Arabidopsis thaliana: one gene and its partner. The protein of the gene in region 1 interacts with the protein of each later gene in a pairwise test. Each region holds a gene or a part of one and is shown in the gene's direction. Other genes may lie near its edges.

Region 1 (3,746 bases):
GTATCACTTTATTCGTGAGTGCGTTGCGAATGAACAAGTTGAGGTGGAGCACGTCCCCGGAACCGAACAGAGAGCCGACATTCTAACAAAGGCACTCGGGAGAATCAAGTTCAAAGAGATGAGAGATCTTGTGGGAGTTCAAGATATGACAAAGTGTAGCTTCAAGCTTAAGGGGGAAAATGTTGGAGTAAGCTTGAAGCTTACTTGAAGAAGAAGCAATCAAGCAAAAAGGAAATTAAAATTAGACTTTGTGTTTAGGAAGTTGCCTAAATACTTATGTGTGTTTTCCTAATAGGATTAGGAAATTGTCTAGTTCTTTTCTTATATAAAGGAGTTGCAAGAGTGTTGCAAAACTTATGAGTTGAGAGATTAAGATTGTGTGTTTTTAGGTTTTGAGTTATTTTCTTAAAGCAATAAAAGAGAGAGTCTTTTATTCATAATCTTGTTCTTATTCTTGAGTTTGATATATAGTTTGAATCAATATATTTTACAAGCATTCGTCACACATCTGATATATACACATTCCACACTCAATCAAAGTATGGCACGGCACAATCCCAATGATGCATTTAGATTTCTCTCTTCTATGACATTCTCCTTCCATCACTACTCCATCTGCACATCATCACTTTCATCATCAAGGCGTTTTCTTTACATACTCCGGTTGAGTTTATGCTCTTCTAAAAAACCTGCAAAAATCAAATCAAAATTTTCATTACAACGCCTTCTGAATTTCAGAAAACTATGTGCAACATAATCATGCAAGTATCATATACTAATCTAAAAATAAAATAAAAACCTTTATGCCCAAATATCCATTTCAGACATATATTTTAGTTTTTCAAAGAAACTAATCTTCTTAATAAAACAGAACTAGGATTGTTATTTTTCCTATATATCAATATGAACAATTAAATTCAAGTAGATTCTTTCAAGACTGCCTAATTTATTTTCCATTTCAAGACAATTTTAAGACTAATCTACCAAATCAAATAACCACGAGAACAGAGGTTAAGCTTCTTTGTTATTATCATCTTATGTGACCTCTTCCAAATATATATATATCTCAAATGTTTTAAATCTGAAAGATATCTAGAGCATCGTAGTTAAAGAAATAAACCAAAAGAGTTACCGTTATGTAACGTTCAAATTTACCTTTTTCTCTAACGTTCCGACTGACGTGACTCTTATGCGCACTGTATTACTAGAAATCAAAATAATAGATTAGTTTGTTTTTTTGTTACGGCTAATAGATTACTTGTTATAAAAGTAAATAAAATAAAAAGATCAAGGAATCCGATTAGATTCAAATCCGAAGGCTATTGATAAGTACTTAATCTTCTTACCATTACAGATAATATCAAACCGTCACGTGGACAGCCACAGCTTTCTTTATTATAATATTTGATAAAGTATTAATTCAGTTTGATTAAAGAATCTTCCTCTTAATAGTTTAATCCTAATCAGAAACTTCGAAAACTATCAAATCAATAAAATATTAAGAACACACACGTTGAAAATTCCCCTTTCACTTATGATTCTCATAAACAAAACTAAGAAAAACAAACAATGTTCTCAATAGTCAATTCCCTAATAAGAGTCAAAAACCAAAGGCTTGACCCTCGTTGAACATGTTGCACATCCATCATTATATATCAGAAGAACATAACTTTCACATTCAAAGATCAATAAATATCAGAAGAACATAACTTTCACATTCAAAGAATTTTAAGCGACATCTCAAGTCTCAATGGAAGCAACATCACAACAATTTATGTCTCAGAGTTACCTTAACGCTCAAGAAACCACCACAAGGGCAACGAAAAATTACCTAACTTCGCTCCATTCGACACGTAAACAACCTTCAAAGCCCTTGAAGAGGCCTGCAATATCATCACCTTTGAATCCAATGCATCCTCATGTCTACCGAGTCGAGCCAGTAAACTTCAAAGTGTTGGTTCAGAGGCTAACCGGTGCACCTGAGCACGAGACTGTGCAGGCTAAACCGCTCAAGACTTCGGATGATGCAGCAAAGCAGAGTTCTTCGTCATTTGCGTTTGATCCATCATCATCTTGGGGAGATTTCTCATTCCAAAATCCTGCAAATATTTCCAGATGGTAGCTTCTACTCTTGCAAAATGCTTCTTTTGATTGAAATGCTTAACATTCTTGTATTTATTTTTAGTTTGTTTTTAATAAACCAGAAAGATGTAATCATATATTTTTCAGACTCGCATTCTAGAATTAATTTGTTATGTCATTTATCTGTAACACACACATAATTTGTGGGAGTTAAGACTTTTGATTAAAATAAAACATAATTGGATTGATTAAGGATTCTAACTACATTGGGAATAATTTGATATTTTCATTAAAAGAATAAATTGAATTAATCAATGATTCTATATACACATGTTTAACATGTGAGAATAATTTGAAATTCACAACAATTAACGTTAGAATAATTTTACAGCTAATTAATGATGATTATTCTTATGTGTGTAGATATAATCAAGATGAGCCGTCAATGTTCTTCTCACCAAGCAATCTTCGTCGTCTTCTTTATCGCAGCTCTCTCCCGCCACCTCATGTAATTTTGATTCTATCATTTCCTGATGAAACACAATGAAACATAAAATTACAAACGAAAATATATAACTACGCATGAATCAACATTCAACATGTGTTTACGCATATAATACTAACCAGACTAAGTGTATCCGCCGGAGAGGTTGTGAAGGAGGCGAAGTAGGCAGGTTCAGGGCGGGCGCTGCACGTTAGCATGGTGGCGCAAAGGAGGAGAGCTATCGTGATCAAAGTAGAGAGATTTGCCATTTTGTGATTATAGATTAATTAATTATGGATATATTGAAAACTAATGACCAAAGCATCTTTATATATAGTCAATCATGGTCAACTCTTTTCTTAATCTAGTTCTTATTTTAAGAAGAAAAAAATTAGAGTGTTTTGTTCTTATCTTTTTCATTTGTTAATGTTTTTATCTATTAAAAATGTAGTTGTAAAAGTTAAAAAAAGAAAGAAAGAAAGATGTATATCTCTTTCACTCGTTTTCAAAAAGGAAACAAATGAATGTGTAATATTCAAAATTTTATAGTATTTTAAAATTATATATAAAGAAAAGTGGATTTGATAAAAGTTAGGTTATACCAATATGTTTCTAAAGATTAACCATCACACATTACCTCGATTTATATTGGAAACATCTAGAAGTATATTTATAGGGAGGTTAAATGGACTGAATGTTTTTTGCTACTACTGATTATTATTATTTTGCCATAATTTGCCACTGGTGCTGTTAAGGGTAAAGGAGATTGTTAATTGGACCAAAACCAATCCCTTTTTTTTTTTTTTTCCAAAACCAATCCCTAAGAATAATAAAAGAACTTTTTTTGTTTGGCATTAGTCTATCAAAAACGTTGACCTGTTTTTACGTGAAGTCAACCGTTGATTTTTTCATATTGGGCCAAATATACCAATATACTGGCCCAATGCAATTCAAGCATGATGGTGGTACAGTCGGAAATAAAAAACTTGAAAGTTGAAACATACATTACTTTAACCCGATTTAATTAGTAGGTCGACACGCAGAAAAACAATTTATGAATTGGTTATCAGTAATTTGATGTCACTAATTAGTACAATTATCGCAATAGTTGCAGGCCCCAACCACTATAATGTTAATATCACGAGAAACCAATCGATTTTTAAAGTTGCAAAGCAAAGAA
Region 2 (3,748 bases), on another chromosome or scaffold:
AGCTTCTTGTAAAGCCATTGCAGTCTCAACAACTTTAACAGCACTAGCTATGTTTCTGCCTTGGGGTCTGAAACCACCAAGAACGCTAATCGCCTGAGGGGTTAGACCCACATGACCAATAACCGCAATTCCTGCTTCAACTATAGCTTTTGCAGCAGTGATCCTAGAAGCTGATCCTCCTTCGAGCTTAATCGCATCCATTCCTCCTTCCTTCAAAACCCTAACCGCAGTATCAACCGCCTGAAGCCAACATTTAAACCCAAAATCAGGTCCCTAATTTGTTTCATTGACACAAAATCTTGTAAAGAATCTACTTTGCATAAGCAAGTACTAAAGCTAAATCTGTGATTACACAGGCAATGACACATTGACACATAATGTATCATTTAAGACTTTTTTTATCAAGAATCCAATCACCTAAACATTTGATCAGGAAATGAATTGAACATTGTAAGTCCCACTGAGTGTTGTGATTAATTCAGGTATTGAAATTGCAATCAAGAATCTAATTACCTACACAAAAATTAAGCAGAAGAACATGCCTTATCAACAAATATGTTTAATTTAGGTATCTAGAAGAAAAAAAGATTCAATTTTATAACATTACCTGACTAGAGCTTGACTCGTAGGTACCAAATGGCAAGTCACCAACTAGGAGAGGTCGTTTAGCGCCTCGAGCAACGGCACGACAATGAACAAGCATCTCGTCTAAGGAGATAGGAAGTGTTGTGTCGTGACCATGAACAACCATGGAAGCTGAGTCACCGACAAGACAAACATCGATACCAGCTGTGTCTAAATGAACGGCGGATGGGTAATCGTAGGCAGTTACGACGGTGATCGGTTCTCCTCTCCGGTGTTTTTGTCTGAGATGCGTTAGCGTCACTCTTTGGTTTGGGTTTTGTGGCTTTGGTCCTCCGTAGACGGTGTTTTCCGGTAGGTTACTCATGAAACGGACAGAGATGGCTTTTGAGAAGCGAGAGCAATTCCTAGTGAGTGAGGACGCCATTGTTGTGAAGATGAAGAAACCCTCTTATCTGTGACTGTGTCTGTGTTTACAAGAACAAGGAATTTTACTTTTAAGAAGATTCAATTCCTAGTGAGTGAGGACGCTGTTTAGATTCTGGCAAGTGGCGATTCAGTTCTGGGTTTCACACACAAATCAAGCATAGCAATGACACTGTTAGGAATTGTGATAGCTTAACTATAAATTCAATATTTTAACGAAATCAACAAGATCCGTTGTAGTCTAGCTGGTCAGGATACTCGGCTCTCACCCGAGAGACCCGGGTTCGAGTCCCGGCAACGGAGATAGTTTTAAAATATCTTTACTATATTAAACCGGATTTTGGTTCAGTCTGGTTATGTTAACCCAGTCTCTGTTTCTCTCTAGGCTCTAGCCTAACCCAGTCTCTGTTTCGATCTTATTGAACTTCTGTTCCAAAGGCGATTCCTTTTTTATTTTTCCGTTTCTGGGTTTAGATAGAGAAATGTAGAGATTGAGATCGCGGTTACTAGTTGGAACTCTCTTGGAGTTGGAGAGCATCCGAGGGTTCTGCACGAGCTCCTTTAAGATCGTAGCTTCGGTTCTTTTTTATGAGATTGCGCATTGTGATACCAAAACCGGATTCTACTGTTTACAGTTTCCAGGAGTTCAAGTAAAGACCAAACCATGTCTCTGTTTTTTAAGTCACACACGTGTGAGATGACGTGAAGGAATTTTTTGTTGTTGTTGGTCTGAAGTAGTTGAATGTAGTTGGCTTCTAAACCTTTTTATATATCTCTTCAATATAAATCACACGAAGAATTCTAACACACAATTCGTTGATTCATCATATCTCCTCTTCATTAATGAATGGCCTCGTCGACTCTTCTCGAGATAAGAAGATGAAAAATCCGCGATTTTCGTTTCGCACAAAGAGTGATGCAGATATTCTCGATGATGGTTATCGATGGAGAAAGTACGGTCAGAAATCCGTCAAGAACAGCTTGTATCCCAGGTAAACTTTTTAACATAAATAATCTGAAATTGTTTTTAAAAAGATTGTTTTTTTGTGTGTTTCTTCTCACTTATGATCATCAAAAGGAGCTATTATAGATGCACACAACACATGTGTAACGTGAAGAAGCAAGTTCAGAGGCTGTCGAAGGAGACGAGCATTGTGGAGACAACTTATGAAGGAATCCATAACCATCCTTGTGAGGAGCTCATGCAAACCCTAACTCCTCTTCTTCATCAATTGCAGTTCCTCTCTAAGTTCACCTAATTATGTTTGTATATATATTAACGTTCTAAGAGCATCTCCAATGGAAGTATCTCAATGAGATACCTAACAAAAGAAAAAAAATTAAAAAAAAAATATGAGAGAAGGGAGAAAAAGTAGGAGAGAAGGAGAGTTAAATTTCTCGGATGATTGGACAGGTGTAATCACACTATTAGTTCAACTATTAAATAATAATTAATGTATCTGTTTTGATTAAAATATTAATTAATATGTTTTTGAGAAACTTTCTTTATTTTTACTGGTGGAGATGGTCTAATGTTCCATGGTTCATATAACGGAGCAAATTAAAGCATTGTAATCATATATGTTTGCATGTTCATAGTTGCAATCTCGTTTTGATTATAAATCAGTTTTAAGCATATAACCAAAATAAAAAAACAAATCAATTGTAATATTCCGGTAAAACGATTACCACGTGATGATTATAGAGAGGCATAGAGCAATATCGTCTGGTAAACTGAATAAAACCGGATTTGGTTTCCATAGATTTTTCTCAAGCCAAATCAGTTTCCTTTCGTTTGAATAAACCTATTGGCTTATCGTGAGTGATTATTGTTTTGTTTATTTACACGATGAACAATGTCAATGAGACATGTCACATGTACGAAGTCAGTTCCGATATATTACATGAATTGCTTTCAAGTTTTGATCAGCATCCTTAAATAGTCACCGAAAATAAGAAGCGAACAAGTCTTGGCGAAGTTGAAGCCACAAAGTGTACTAATAAATATGGATTGCCGAATTAAAAGAAGAAACAAAAAAACTACATTTTCATATTTTTTTTCTTCTTCCATATATAAATCCACTTTTCAACTTAAGCAAATGCAATCAATGGGAAGGTAAGTATGTATACCTCTAAATCTCAAATAATCTTTAAAATTATAAAATATATATGTTTTGACTAATTTTAGGAAGATAAAATAATCTCTTATATTTTCATCTTCTTGGGATTATTTACCAAAAATTAATGTTTAGAAAGTAGTACTACTCAACATGTAGTTGTTAAATATCTTTAAAGTTTAAGTTTTGATAATGTTAAAATCTATTAAAAATAATTGGTCATAATAGTAAAACAACTAATAATTAATTTTTTAGGATATTGCTTAAAAGTTAAAACATATTGCTAATTTAAAAGTCATAATATACAAAATATAATTGTAGTATATTCTATAATAAACATGTTTCATCTTTTTTTCGGACGAGCAAAGAAGTAAGAACGCACGTTATGACCATGATGCTCTAAAAAAAGGATCTTATTCCTTTTCTAATGATGGAAAAATTATTATATTATTCCTTTTCCAACAACCAAAGAAAAATCAAAAATGTCACGCTCCGGCAATTAAGGTATTTATCATCCTTAAAAGAGGTACCAAAATATATAGAACCGACAGCGCCATAAACTTTAGAAAAGAGAGAGAGAGACAAAGAGAGATCTGATCCTTTGAAGAAACAACACCAAAAAA

Evidence for each region. Proteins that work in one complex are often made in the same cells at the same time.
Region 2: the proteins of AT4G37710 (region 1) and WRKY43 interact in binary tests that used the Arabidopsis thaliana proteins (3 or more experiments, as listed by UniProt).

Annotation. Positions count from the first base shown.
Region 1 is NC_003075.7:17,716,484-17,720,229, forward strand, and holds AT4G37710 (VQ motif-containing protein), read left to right. Parts: upstream 1-1,644; 5' UTR 1,645-1,750; coding exon 1,751-2,122; 3' UTR 2,123-2,288; downstream 2,289-3,746. Other genes in the region: PSK6 (phytosulfokine 6 precursor), read right to left, coding at 2,478-2,612, 2,707-2,835. UniProt on the Arabidopsis thaliana protein: May function as negative regulator of flowering transition.
Region 2 is NC_003071.7:18,955,403-18,959,150, forward strand, and holds WRKY43 (WRKY DNA-binding protein 43), read left to right. Parts: upstream 1-1,809; 5' UTR 1,810-1,851; coding exon 1,852-2,000; intron 2,001-2,086; coding exon 2,087-2,267; 3' UTR 2,268-2,523; downstream 2,524-3,748. Other genes in the region: KPHMT1 (ketopantoate hydroxymethyltransferase 1), read right to left, coding at 1-240, 608-1,009. UniProt on the Arabidopsis thaliana protein: Transcription factor. Interacts specifically with the W box (5'-(T)TGAC[CT]-3'), a frequently occurring elicitor-responsive cis-acting element.